2 linked regions of the Alligator mississippiensis genome follow. The protein of the gene in region 1 purifies or fractionates together with the protein of each later gene. This does not show direct contact. Links are inferred from orthologs where the notes say so. Each region holds a gene or a part of one and is shown in the gene's direction. Other genes may lie near its edges.

Region 1 (7,468 bases):
TAGTGTGTGTTGAAGCCCACTCGGCTTTACCAACACCCCTTAATCCTGACCTATAACCTGGATTCTTCTGGCCCCAAGCTTCTTGTAGGATAAGAATAATGGTGGCTTTTACCAAAAAATGTACACAGAGAAATCCTAGACCTATCAACATTGAACATGAAAACTCATATTGATTTCAGTGGTTCATGGAGTGCACACCCAGAGATTTCTGCGGTACCCCTAGGGACTAAAACGAGAACAAGCTATCTTCCATTCTAGGGATGTATCTGCTGCATTCCTCTTATGGAAGTGGGGATATCAGGTTGTACGGGAGTGAGTGACTAAAAGGAAGTGGTCTGAGAGCTTGGGGCGGTTTGTGCTCTGCTGACCAAGTGATAGATTGCTCCTAACATTTTATGAAAATATGTTTCATGTGTTTGTCTTATTTCTGTTTGCTATGTGATGCCATTTGCTGCACCTCTACAAGGGTTAAATTCAAGACAAGGTTAGTTGCAGATACACAGGAAAGAGTTTGACAGCTTCCCTCCCCACCCTTTACCCAATATTCAAAGGATAATGCAGATGTTGCTGGCTTTGAAGTTATAACTTCAACCTCTGATCTCAACGGGCTGCCTGGGCACGGATGTGTGTATGTGTGTGCACATGTTCCAGCATGTAACCACAGTGGGGAGCAAAGCAGAAAATAACGAAAGAAAGATCTTTGGATGGATATGTAGATAGCCCCAAAATGACAAAGTCAGGCAAGAACTGCTGGCAGTTGACCAACCTGCAGTCTTCTTGAGATGAGGTTTCTTTAATAATGGTCTACTCAGGGCAATAGTTAAGTTAGGAGTGTAGATGTGCATCCCAGCTCTTCCTACTGGTACAATGAATCAATATCTTGTTTTTCAAAAACTATTCTGAATATTCACAACTGGCCACAGGACCCCAAGGACAACTTGAAGTTGCTGAGCTCCGGTGGGTCTTGCTGAGTAGCCATTGCAACTTCATGGGATGTTGTAGCCTTGGGATCCACTCTGCAGTCAGGAAGATTGCAGGATTCCACACCTGGATGAATGAAGTCAAGGGTCTATCACTTGAGAAGGATACATTCATTTAGACAGGAGAGGGGACAGAGCTGCAGCTAACCCTGAACTGTGGCAGAGAGTATCAGAAAAATAGTATGTACGTAAGTTTGAGGGGTGGGTTTGTGCATCTTTCTGACCACGTAAATGATAGCAGAACATAGAAGAGACAATAGCAGAGCTCTACACGTTCAATTGTGATGATGCATTTGCACGTATTTCAACAGACTGAGGCAAGGTTATAAAATTACATTGAAATCTCCAGGGCCCACATAACAATGGCAACAAAAGACTTAAATGTTCAGAATTCAGATAAGTATTCTAAAATGCAGGTGCTTATCTAAGTCTATACAAACAGTGTAAATGAGCTACATGCTTATAAACCATATTCATAGAGGAGTACATTATTCCACAAATAATCCCGCTGAAGGCAATGGGATTGTTTATGACTGAAGGCAATGGGATTGTTTATGGTACCAGGGAGCTAAACTGGAGTAAAATACAAGAAGTCAGTCTAGATGCAGAGGGAATATGTCCTGTTAGGTCCTATTCTAGGCAGATATTGTGGAGTTTCCCAACTGTTTGAAAGCAAAGCCCATTTCAGGCAAATGACAGCAATTGTGCCCCACTATGTGGTGTTAATGGCAGTCCAGAATGAGCAATCACTCATCATGGATTTGGTATATCTTCAAAGTATACCTGCACACATCGATAAGCAGTGACATAGCTAATGCTGACTGAAATCAGAACAAGTGACCTCTGCATCAACATCCATGGAAATGAACAGGCAATGTTGAACTACTAGTTATTATTTCAGGCTCTCTGCACACAGACAGGTATCACCGCACAAGTTATGCACAAGTTGTATTTTGAAGGTTTCCTCCTCAGCCATAACAAAAAGGCTGTATCCAGATATGCAGGCATGTGTGTTTGTGGCACCACAAACTGCACACAGGGAATGTTAGAACGTGACCCGCACTGCAAATTTGCAGTGCATGGCCAAAATTTGCTACCAGGAAATCCCAGCAGCAAAAAAAGCACTGGGAGAAAAAGCAGCGTGGCATACGCAACAGGAGCATGCACCAGAAGACACGGAAGCTCAGTCCTCCAGGGAAATGCTCTGGCTGCTGATAAAGAGCATATTCACTCCTGAAGTTGTGCCCCGGCTCTTTCAGCATGCCAGGAGCCGGGAGGAAACAGCAAGGGCAGTTTGCCTGAAGCGGGACAATCTGTCCCTCACCAAAGCAGGGGTATGTGCTGCGGCAAAAAGTTTGTGCGGCTACTATTTTTGCCGCTGCAAGCGCAGGCCCCTGAACATCTGGATGCAGCCAAAGAGGCTTAATTTTCAAAAAACAAAGAAAAGAAAAATGAAAGCTAAGATGCTGCCAAACAACTTGGATGCTTATCTGCACTATCCCCACAGCTAAACCTCTGTGACTGCCCTGGGAGCACACTTCCTACAGCAAAATGATGCGATAGCTAAAGCATCAACTCTCAACAGAGAGTCAAGGTTCTGGCTTATTTAACTACTGACAATGAGTGTACAAGTAGTCATGCCAATAAAGATTGTTGCACAATTTTTTTAAACTAAAATCATGTGGGTGACAGCAACAGGTTGGCATGGGCAGGGAGACGGGCTGCGAGGGTGAGTGCTGTTCTGTGTTCTGTACACTGCATGAAGGAAGGAGGAGATGCTGTGTGGGTAAGACGGTAGGGGAGAAAAAGCGAGTGAAATAGGTCATGGCATGGATAAGAGGAAGAGGTGGAGGGGAAGTGGTGACTGTGGAATATGATAAAGAGAAATAAGTCTCTATTCTAGGCTGTATCTGTTAAACCACAACAGATGGTCTATGCCCTTGCAAACAGCATTATATCAAAGGCAAACAGCACTGTATCAAAAGTGTCTGGCTGTGTGTGATAGTGGCACTTGCTTTAGCAGGGAGTCTTAGCTACACAAAACTGAGTGTGTCATTAGTGTTTCCTTTATGTTAGCATCCAAGAGTACAACCAAACCTGGGATCTGTTCGGTCCTAAGCTATACCAGAGACACCCCTCAGCCCCCCCAAAAAATGATGAGCGGAACTCATAGAGACAAGGTATTATGGAAGACAAGGGTTTAGCAGGACTCATACAAATACTGGTCATTTTAACTCTGCAAACATTGGGGCTACAGTAGTTGAGACCAGCTAACAGGGTCACACGTGCTGTTTTTGGAGACACAGCTTGTAGCACACACCATGGGCAACTTGAATCCTCCCTACATGTGTTTTGTCTAATGTTGTTATTTTCCTTGGCTAAGGAAACAACATACATCATTTTAATTCTTATATTCTTGCAAATTCATTTCTGACTTTGGCCCTTAAGAGCCCACAAGAGCTGACATTCGCTCATGATTTGAACTCGTTCCCCAGGAGGTCTTCCTGTGACGACAGCCCGGCTCTGCCACCGATCCCTCCTTAAACCTTCCCTGTCCCTTCTCTCCTCGCAACACGCTCTGTTAATAATAATAAATAATATTTACTTCATGGTCAGGGACGGGTCCCATAATGTCATAATGACACGTTGAGAATGATTCAGTGTCGTCTTGCACTCGAATACACCAATTTCCTCTTCTTTTTATGAAAACAAAATACCAAGGGCTGTGGCGAGGAGGCCAGCGGTGCACATGGGAGCGGAGGCAGAGGTCCCTGGCTTTGTAGGGACGGGGGCAAATTGCCCCAGGTGCCCCCCTCCCCTCTGGGCAGCCTGGCATCATGGAGTGGGGAGGATGCACCCCAAAATCAATCAACATCCAGCGAGAGGTGGAAAGCAGCCTGTGCCTCTTCATCGCCATGCCCCCCTTCACCTGCAAATATCCGTTAGGGGACGAGGGGAGCGTGCTCCCAACAGGGCGCCCACCACCTCCCAGCCACCCCGCGGGCACGGCTCCGTCTCAGTCGACGGCCCCGGCACCGTGGGGCCTGGTCCAGGCTGTGGAGCCAGGTCTTAGCAAAACTGGGGGAGCCGTTTGGTGAGCGTCATCTGGACCCGCACGGACATGTCCCCCCGCTGATACCCTGAAACCCCCCTGCAACTGCTTGCAAAGCTTGGCCTGGCCATTTTGGGTGGGAGGGAGGTGCCTGAAGCCATGTCCCTACGACAGCCTGGCCCTGGACGGGAACAAAGAGCACACCCCCAACCCGGCCTGAGAGGGACACCGCGCCCCCCAGCGCCTTGTGTAAGGCGGCCGGGTGCGGCACCCCTGAGAGCAGTCCGCAGCCCGTGCCCTGCCCGCGACCGCACAGGCGGGGCGGGGCGGGGCGGGGCAAGGGGATGTGACGCGGCGGTGCGGTGCATTGTGGGGCTCGCGCTGCTGCCTGTGGCGGGGGGGCAGTGGCGGAGCCGGGAGAGCGGCGGGCGGCGGGAGACATATTGGTGCGGCGCCGCGCGGTGAGTGCGGGGGGCAGCGCGGCGCGGGGCGGGCGGGGGCGCTGGGCCGCGGGCCGCCGACACCGCGGGGCGAGGGGAGCGCCGGGGTCGAGCGGGCGCGCGGCGGCGGCGGCGGTGCGTCCGGGAGCGCCGGCCCCGACACACACACACACACTCCCCCTTCCCCGTCACACACACACACACACCCACCCTTCCCCCTCCCCGTCTCACACACACACACACACACACACACTCTTCCCGTCTCACACACGCGTACCCTTCCCCTCCCTGTCACAAACACACTCTCCCCCTCTCTCTCTCTCTCTCACACACTCACACACACTCCCCCTCCCTGTCACACACACACACACACTCCCCCTTTCCCATCACACACACACACATACACACCCTTCCCTGTCTCACACACACACTCCCTCTTCCCCTGTCTCTCACACACGTACCCTTCCCCTCCCTGTCACACTCACACACACTCCCCCTTCCCCTGTCACACTCACACACACACACTCCCCCTTCCCCTGTCACACTCACACACACACACTCCCCCTTCCCCTGTCACACTCACACACACACACTCCCCCTTCCCCTGTCACACTCACACACACACACTCCCCCTTCCCCTGTCACACACATGCGCACACCCCCCACATACCCTTCCCCCTCCCCATCACACACACACACACAGACACGCACATTTCCCCGTCCTCCTGTCACACACCCCTTTCCCCTTCCCCCATCTCACACACCTTCCCCATACACTTCCCCCTCCCTGTCACACACACACACACACACCCTTCCCCCCTCCCCCGTCTCTCACACTCACACGCACACACACTTCCCCCCCCTCCTTCCCCCCTCAGGTCATTGGCCAGGAGAAGATGATGTGGAGCGACGCAGGGAGCCGGGCTGCGAGGCAGCAGCAGGAGACATTGTCGCTCCCGTCACAGAGCAGGGGCCAGAGTTGGCTGCTTGCATAAAGGAAAGGGAAGCAGGAGATCCTGCCAGCCAGGACCACCTGCCAGCCCCCTGCCCAGTGGCCTGTCAGTGGCAAACTGAGGGCTGCAGCCTTTTTCGGTGGGGAAGACCAAACCTGTCTGTAGGGAGAGGGGCCGAGCATGTTTCGGTAAAGCTGTCACTTCTTCTAAAGCCTGCGCGGTGCCAGCCTGCAGGGGTTGTGCAAGCCGTGCTGAGCATGCCTGGGTGTGGGTGTTCTTGCTACACCCGGGCTGCAAGCCTGCAGGTTAATGCAGGCTTTTCAGACAACCGTGCAAAGCAGAAGTGCTTGGGTTTCACTGGGGATGGGCACATGAAGAAAGTGGCGGGATCAAGTACCCCCTTTTCATGCTTTGCATCTTCCCATAATTTGCGGAGGGGTTCAGCGTGATCTTTAGAAGTAAGAAAAGGAGTAGTTCAGTGTGTTCTTTAGAAGCAGGAGTCCCCACGCTGACATTTGAATCTGAAGTGGACAGATAGGAAGAGATGTGGTTCAGTGACGCCGGTCTACATCTGAAGTACCCCCATTGGTGTTGGTGGGCAGGAGATGATGGCTGTTGAATTGTGTAACAGCTGATGATTTCATGCTCTGACCTTCAGAACAAATTCCCTGAGATTCAGTGTGGCTGTCACTTAGCAACAGGTGTGTAGGGAACTTTGCAGAGGGAGCACCTCCTCCTTCCTAAGGGTTTCCTAGGAATAAACCAGCCCAAGAGCAGGAGAATCTCATTAGGGAAGCAGCACCTGGGTTCTGGTAACCATCCTGGAGACAGGCATAAACAAGAGGATTACTATTTCTCCGACTGTCATGTTTCTGCTATTTGAAATGCCGTTGTTCACAGATGGGTTGGACTGAGTGGTCCTTAAACCATACCTGATATTTGTTTGTTTAAAGAGTTAAAAAAAGGAAGTGTCTGCAGTTTAGAGCTAAATTTTAATTCCAAGTTTGTTTGTTGTGCTAGGGTGCAGTTAAGGCCACTTGAGTTCCTATAACGTGTCTTTATTTAGATATAAATTATGTATACTTCTGTTTTGCCAGTAAAGCCAAATGCAGATTGTACATTCTGGACCAAATGCAGCTGCCTGTTTACTGTAATGTAACTGAGAGCGTATCTGATCTAGGGACATAAGCAGTGGAAGATCTTGAAAGAGTTCCTCATTTTAGCTTTGGGTTAGCAGAAGTTAAGCTTTGGGTTGTAACGATCAAAGTTAAGAAAGGAAATCAAACCCAAAATGTTCATATCGGGCTCCTTAAAATTATCGTAGTCCTTTGGACAAATTCCTTTGGACATGGGACTTCTGTACCAAGCTTTCTCTCTGCAGCACAGGTAGAAAACTGCCATTTCAGAATCAGAGTTTAGATTTAAATTTCTCTCTCAAAATTAGCAGTTGAGGCTGGTTTTTGTGCTACTGCCTAAAAGCCCTTTTTGGAGTCAGAGGTCCATTGTCCTGTGCTTGGCTACTGTGCCACTTGGGGGAAGGAAAACTTGTTCCCCTTCTTTTGCCCAGCCCACTTTGGCAGATGATAGGTGTGAGTCCCTGGTTATACACCATCTTTCCCATTCCCACTTTGGAGAGAGTGAAGTCCAGAGTTCTTGCATTTCAACTGGGAAAGGAGTATAGTAAGAATCACATTTTGCCTGGCCTCTGCGCCAGGCAGGTTTTGTATCTTCTGTTTTCTCGTTTGTGCACCTGAACACAGCCAGTCAGCAGTGATGTTTATTTGAGGTTTCATTCTTCAGCTTGATTTCACCTTGGAAGCATCCACATTGCCTCTTTACTGTATTTTTTGCCTGCTTCCAAAATGTCAAACATTGTGGAGCAATTTTTGAATCATTCTTTCAGGGTAACACATTTTTTTATTATTATTTTGTAGTCTCTGATTAAATGCTTCAGTGATTTAAAGCCATTTCTCTCTAATTTTTATGTTTGTTGATGTCATGAAATAGAAGTGCCATTATGCACAGTTTGTTTTGGGTTTTTTT
Region 2 (7,268 bases), on another chromosome or scaffold:
TTATGCCACATTACAGACCCACACCCCCAAAAAACCTCTGCTTTGTCACTAGCTGCAGCCATATCTCAAAGTAGAGAGGACAGCTGTGAAATAGCTGACAAGGCAGAAATTTAAACATTTTTGTACTTCCTTGTAAGAGCCATAGCATCAGCTACCAATAATCCTGATGTCAGGCAATAGGGGTGGAGTTGGCTCACATGTACTGTACTCACTCCTAGCCAAGCAGGAAGCACTGTATGGCATCCAATCAACAAGTGTTCTAGGCCTGCCTTAAAAAAAGTGGAATCTTTCAAACTAAAGGGATTCCTCCACTGATTCTGCCTGGCTCCTCCAGACAGGGATACTATCAGAGGCCCTTTACTGCAGAAATTGGTAGTGAAATTATTAGAGACACGATCAGAAGCCCATATTTGTTAAAAAAAACTTTCTTCACGTTTAAAAAAAAAGTTCTACTTTGAGCCTACCAGTGTTTAATTTTGCTTTACACTATTGTATCCCTTTCTCCACGAGATGCCTGTAATTTAAGAATAAATAAAGACATGCTATTAGTTTGCCCCTATATAAATGATCAGAATTGCTTGCACTTCTGGCATTTTAAAATGTTTTTAAGGCCAAATGCAGTGCTGAGATGTCTGACTCATAGCATATAACAATTCAATACTCTGTAAATTCTTTATGTAATACTTGATTCATGCATCAAAAAACAGGCATGTTTCACTGGTGGGTTGGACCCAATCCTGCTTCTATGAAAATTCATATGATTTTGTCAAAGGGAACAGGACCAAACCAGAAAAATGATGAATAAAGAAATAAAAATGTTTAGAATAATCTAAAGAAATGTATACTATCCAAATCAGATTTTTTTTCTGATTTGGATTTTGTTTCCATTGTTATATAATTTAAACATTTTGAACATTAACATGATTTTCAAATGCTTTAATTTAGATGGTTTCATCAAGAAATATACTAAAATGCATGAAATAACTTTGCAAAATATCAATTTAATCATTCAAATGATATTCTATAAATTATGAATTATATCTTTTGTATCTGACATCTTCTTTTCCTTTCTTGGAGAAGAACATTTAGTTAAAAAGACCTTCTTCCATTATGAAAATAAGTCAGAAACAGAAAGCCACTTGGGAGGTTTTGCTCAGTGAGAATGGAAAGTCTACAAGCAGCTCTTTGCAACTTTAAACACCTTGGAGCAGAAAAAACAACTGCCAACACTCAGGCTGTTTGCAGGAGACTGATGATCAGACAGTCTGCTTTTTAAGAGTTATTTTCTGATTAGATTTACACATCAAGGCAACACAATTCAACTAAAATGGAAAGAGTATTTCTTTTTAAAAAAGTACACAACCCCCACTCCCACCAAAAAAACCCAGTCCTTTCAGAGCGTTTGATCTTTGATTTCCTAATTGGAACTAGTTAACTCCAAACAGGATACATCTACATATATGCTTTACTGTGCAGTAAACTGTCATTGTTTACATATGCACGGCAATTGGGCCAGTGTAGACTAATTTACAGAGCCGCTGGATAGTCGTCAGACAGAGATACTATCCAACAGTGGAGTAAATTACTGCGCTTAACTGCATGTGTAGACAGTGTCGTCAGTATTAGTTTGCTCTGGCTCACATTGCACCAGAGTTTATTCAGTCGCATTAATTGTACGTGTAGACATGCCCACAGTTCCGGGCACAAACAACTTTCCACTGAAGTGCAGACATCTGAGATGAGGATCTGTTAACAGTTTAATATTAATTTCTCAGTAATAAAATTAACTAAACCAATTACAATAAGTTATTTTTAACATTATTTGTTAGGACCATTTTATGCTTCCTCACTGAAAACAAACTAATGGTCTCAAATTCTAAATAGCAAAGAACTGGGTGGCCATCTTAAATTTGGCAGCCATTTTGGGGTAGTTTTAAATAGCTTTATATCCAGAATTGATCAATAGATCCCATTTTAGAAATGTGCCAATTTTGGTAAATACAATCACAAACGGGAATCTTTTGAAATTATCATTTTTTTTCTGCTGGAATTAAGAAAGGGATAGGAGAATTTGTAACTGCTATGTTTCTTTATTTGCAAAGGAAGATGTTACAATAAAAATGAACTATTAACATTGACTCAATGTAAGGATCAGAAAACAAAGGAGACAGAGCTATAGTTCTATCAGGTCAGAAGATTTTCTTTAAGTTTTGTGATATTTTAGATTTTTGTTGAAACACAGGTTGCTAGAATTAAGAGACAAATACATTTCTAGTCTTTATAGTTGCTGGGGAAAGGTTGCAAATTTGAAGTGAACCCTAAAGACTCAGTAATGGGAAAACAAAAAACACCCAGAATGTATTATTGAAAAAATGGTGTTTCACTGATGTAATTATTTGGGAGAGGGGTAACTCATGGTTGTTTGAATGTGGCTGTTGTTTTTACAGATAAATACGTTATGGCAGGACCAATGAGCCTCGATCATATTCGGGATCCCTTGTGCTAATTGTGGTACAAAGACAACACAGACACCTGGTTCTCTGACACCAAAGAACTTCCAATATAAGATGAGACAACAGGTAAATACAGATAGAGAAACAGATGCAAAAGTACAAGGAAATGACCCCAGTCAGCAATAGGCAGTGATTTCTGCATGCTTATTTGCCTAAATGATATTTTTAGGTATAATGGCCAAAGACAGTTTTCAGAAAAGACTTGAAGAACTTAGAGGAGCCTCTTATAAGTCTGAGTTACAGCCTAGGAGAAAGCATGCACATTTCTGATTGAGAATGTAACATGAAATTTAACAGGAAACTCTGCCAATGAAACCAGGCCAATGAGTCTTGGGAGCTGAGGTCTGACAATGACAAAGAGCTAACAGGTAATATGGGGATGGGCTATGAATAACCATGAAAATGCAGACAAGTGGCTTTTGCGTGGTCCAGCTAATAAAGTTGAGCTGGTAGAGGGATGTAAAAAAGGTGACATGGCCAAAATGCTGAGCTGGTAAAATCATATTTACCCTAGTTTTGAACTGGCATGAGTGGGAAAAAAAACCCTTTTTCCTTAGAAGGCCAAGGAAAAGGCTTAGGTAGTAAGCAAGAGTGTGGGATGATGACAGCCTGAGTGAGAAGGCCGCGTAGACAGACAGGACAGCCTTTTTTTGTGGGGATGCTGTAGAGAAAGCAACAGGAAAACTTTAAGCATGGCCTCCACTTGACAGTGTGGCCAAGACCGAATAGACAGCAGCCCACAAATTAGAGGCCTGAGAGGAAGGCTGATGTCAGTGGCATTAGGTTTTGGGTAATGCTGCAAGATGGGGCATTACTAAAAGCCCTGGATAAAAGCTGTTTTGCGAAACGTGGCATCCTGTTAAGTGCAGCAAGCTGCTTGAGGGTTTGTCAACATCTTTATTAGCAAACAAGGGGCCTGTTGGGAATTTCGCGACCGTCCGGGGCTGCACTGTCAGCTTGGATGTGGAGAAAAACACTACCGAGGATGCGAAGGGTCTTTGGGAAAGGGAGGGGCGAGGAGCCCAGGCTGCTCCCGGCCCCGCTCTGCGCTAGGGACAGTTTTGAACTGGGCTTGAGACTCGTCCCCGAGGCCGGCTCCCGGCAGGTGTCAGCCGGGGCGGGGCTTCCAGCGAGCCGGGGCTGAGCCCGTGGGGAAAGGGCAGCAGCAGGGACTGCGGCAGTGGAGCCGCTCGGGTCGCAACAGGTTGGCAGGAGGCGCCGGGGGCACACAGGCAGCCCAGCCAAGCCCGCCCCCCGCTTGTGCCCCTCCCGCGCGCGCCGCTGAGGCGCGACGGTTAGAACCGTTACGGCTCCCACTTTCGAACTGATTCAAACTCGGCAGCGCCGAGCAAGGGCAGCCCCTTCCCTCCGTGACGCAAATGACAGTTTCAAGGTCCCCCCCGCGCCCCAACCCCTCTCCTCCCCCCCGCGCGCGCCCACGGCCGGCGTGGAGCGGGGCCGGTGTAGGGGGGAGGCTTGAAACTCCCCCTCCCCGCGCTGAGCGCGAGAACAAAGGGCTCCCCCGCCCCCCTCCCTCCCGCACGTGGGGAGCGCTGACCCCGCCCGCCGCCGCCGCGGATTGGCTCCTGCGCACCGTCCTCCTCTCGCCGCGGCCGGCCAATCGGGGCGGCGCTTGGTGGTCGCCAATGAGCGCGACGCGGATTGGGCCGCCGGGCTTTGGCGCTCGGTCCGCCCGGGAGGGTGAATCCGGCGGCCGGAGGCAGCGGCGGGCGTTCGCGGGAGCCGGCGGCGGGTGAGGAGGCTGCACGTCAGCGGAGCTGGGGGCTCTTTATAACCGGCGCCCCCTTTGTGGAGGTGGAGGCCGCCCCCCGGGTGACAGCGCCCTTTGTCTCCCGCGGGCACGGGGTGGGGGCTCGGGATCCCGTCCGAAGGGGCCCCCGGGGAGCACCCCGCCTCCGGGCTCGGCGGGGCCGCGGCAGCCTCGTGCGCTGCCCGCAGCCGGAAGCCGCCGCTTAGCCCAGGCGGCCCCCGTGGTCGCTGCTTCCCCTCCCCCCGCCTGCCCGCCCGCCAGCTCCGGTCGCTATTGTGATGCACGCGCCGCCTCCCCCGCCCCCTGCCAGCGCCTCTGGGGGAAGTGCGGGGCAAATGCGGCCGCGTGCGACCGGCTCGGGAGCCGGCGGGGACCTGCTGTGAGCCCGGCCCCTTGGCCATGGCGGGAAAGCTGTCGAGGCTGAGCCGAGCATGGGCTGTTCCCAGCCCTCTGTTTGCTCTATTTTCCTTTTCTGAGTCTCCGCCATAGGTGTCAGCAAAGGGGTTGGGGAGCATCCCCCAACTTGGGGCAAATGATTCATGCCCAGGGAAGGTGGCGGAGGTGGAGGGCTGATTCACGGGCGCCTGGTTCTGACTGGAAAGACTTAGTGGGGTGGGCGGGCAGGCGGACTGGCAGTGTCAGCTTGTCAGGGGAAGGGCTGGAGGCTTTTGTTCTGGGGGCTCTGCTATGCAGCCGGTTGGTGCCCCAGCCCCACAACCCCCTGCCACTAGGAAGCTGGAGTTTAGCTTTTTGTTTTTCTCCCCTCTCCCAAGGGAAACAGGGGAGCAGGAATCCTTTTTTGATGACCCCAAGTTACAATTGTCGTCTTTCGCAGAAAAGGATTTGTATGGGGGGTGCTGTGGGGATTGGCCGTAAGTTTTGAGACCTAAACCTGTGCGGCGAGTTCTCATTTGATTTCCGAATCGGGGGTTTTCTTCTGTTCCCAGGGTTTAGGACTTTCCTGGAACTTGCCTGTCACTTGTAACAGTTCATTAAAAGCTGCTCTTTTTCTTTGTCCCAAGTGTCCATATCCAGCTGGGAGCTCCTGGGATGTTTATTTGTGGTAACCAGAAAGCATGTTGTGAAGGGTGAGTACATGTACGCAGTGTTCTAAAAGTACCTGCCATTTGGTCTGTCATGATTTGAATACTTAGGACCTTATGAAGATCGGTGATACGGACAGTATATCTCATGCTTTTTTTTTTTCTGAAGTAGTTTGATGCGGACAAACGTAGAACTTTTGGTTTAAACATTCTGTATTTGTGCAAGACTGAATGTTAAACTGAGTCAGATTTATTTATTTATTTATTTATTTATTTATTTATTGTGTTTGTTTGCTTCCTGCCCAAAAAGACCACCTACTGTTTGGTTGCTGTGGAGAGGATTATGAAAAGATAGTTTGTGAAAATATCCCCCCCAATAGTTATGGGGTATTGGCAGAGGTTTCTTTTAAAAGCATTCTTTAAAACTTAGCATGAGGTATCAACAGCTACATTTTCTGATGCATTTCAGGATCCTAATTTAGCATAATAGGATATATGCAAGGTTTGGTTTCTTTATACAGATTTTAAAATATAGTTGTATTCTGAAATGTGACAGACACTTTGGGACTGCCTGCTGTGGCAATGACTTGTAGATTAAATTTGCTCAGTTTACAAATTGTTTTCTTAATGGGCTGTAGACTGAGATCGAAATCGGAGTAACTTTGCCTCTCATTAGAATTACTAAAGACTCTTAAATGGAATTTAGGTAGCAATTTTGTTGAAGGTTTGTGTATCAGCCTAGAATCCAGTTTGCTCGTATAACTGGATCCAGCACTAACAAGGCTATAATGTAGAAAGTATATCCTTGTGCTTGTGCTAATGTTTCTATATTTGGGGAAGCTGCTACTTAGTAAGCTAAGGGATGAATTTGCAGTAACCTAGGTACTCTGCAATAAATGCTTGTAGGGATGTTCTTAATGTACATTAAGAGTACATTTGCGGTAGAAAGTGTGTGTGGACAGCCAATGTATGCAGTAACTTCTCTGTACTGTAAATTAGAAAGCACTGTCTTGACTGTCATGAGCTCTTGGACATTGTCTAAGCAGGGGTCAGCAACGTTTTTGGCCAGAGGTTCCAGAAAACACCCGAACCTCCACCCACACCTTGACTTGGCATGCCAGAGGCGTGGGACCCATGAGTGGTCTGATCCTCATTGCTGGTGGTAGCTGCACATGCGCCTCTGGGTGGACAGCGTGGGAGGTGCTGGGGTTGCGCTGCCCCGGCTCCTTCCCTGCCATGCAATGTGAGGCATGTGTGCCCCCACCAGTGGCACAGAGCTGGTGCTGGGGCTCTGATTGCGGCCTGCTTGCCACCTGCTGTAGCTGCCCAGAGCCTGGGCTAGCTGTCAGGCAGTCGGAAGGCTGAAAATTGTGGTATTGGGCTCTGCGCCACTGTGTCTGGTGGCGATGGCTGCATGTACACCTCTGGGCATGCAGCTGGGAAGGGGTCTAGACTGCACAACCCCAGCCCCTCCCCTGCTGTCTGCCCAGAGGTGTGTGCAGAGCTGCTGCTGCCACCACTGAGCCAATGGTGGGGCTGCAGATCACAGAGCAGCTGTTTGTTGCCTCCCAGCTGCCTGCCATTGCCAGCCTGGACTCCAGACAGCTGCAGCAGATGGTGGGGCAGCTGCAGGCAGTTGCGCTAGGCTCCGCAGCCTTAGCAGTGGTGGTTGAACACATGCCTCTGGGCAGATGGCAAGGGAGGGCCAGGCCTGTGTTGCCCCAAGCCCCTTCCCAGCCATTCACCTAGAGGTGCTTGCACAGCTGTCCTACCCATGTTAGCTGCATGGGGCTCCATAACCCCAGCACTCTAGTTTACAGCATCCTGGCTGCAGTTAGCCCAGGCTGTGGGCAGCTGCTGCCTACCACTAAGCCTGGGCTGACTCCAGCAGGGCTTGCAGCTTCCTGGCCACTTGCTACAAGCAGCCCGGGCTCTGTAGCT

Evidence for each region. Proteins that work in one complex are often made in the same cells at the same time.
Region 2: the proteins of core histone macro-H2A.1 (region 1) and EZH2 purify together in Homo sapiens (affinity purification with mass spectrometry; 3 studies listed by BioGRID and IntAct, with this or other methods). This does not show direct contact. The link is inferred for Alligator mississippiensis from reciprocal best matches to the Homo sapiens genes MACROH2A1 and EZH2.

What each region holds. Positions count from the first base shown.
Region 1 is NC_081832.1:70,965,755-70,973,222, reverse strand, and holds the start of core histone macro-H2A.1, read left to right. Parts: upstream 1-4,400; 5' UTR 4,401-4,493; intron 4,494-7,468. UniProt on the Homo sapiens protein: Variant histone H2A which replaces conventional H2A in a subset of nucleosomes where it represses transcription. Nucleosomes wrap and compact DNA into chromatin, limiting DNA accessibility to the cellular machineries which require DNA as a template.
Region 2 is NC_081828.1:117,667,124-117,674,391, forward strand, and holds the start of EZH2 (histone-lysine N-methyltransferase EZH2), read left to right. Parts: upstream 1-4,162; 5' UTR 4,163-4,266; intron 4,267-4,308; exon of another isoform or gene 4,309-4,328; intron 4,329-5,300; exon of another isoform or gene 5,301-5,306; 5' UTR 5,307-5,334; coding exon 5,335-5,372; intron 5,373-7,268. UniProt on the Homo sapiens protein: Polycomb group (PcG) protein. Catalytic subunit of the PRC2/EED-EZH2 complex, which methylates 'Lys-9' (H3K9me) and 'Lys-27' (H3K27me) of histone H3, leading to transcriptional repression of the affected target gene.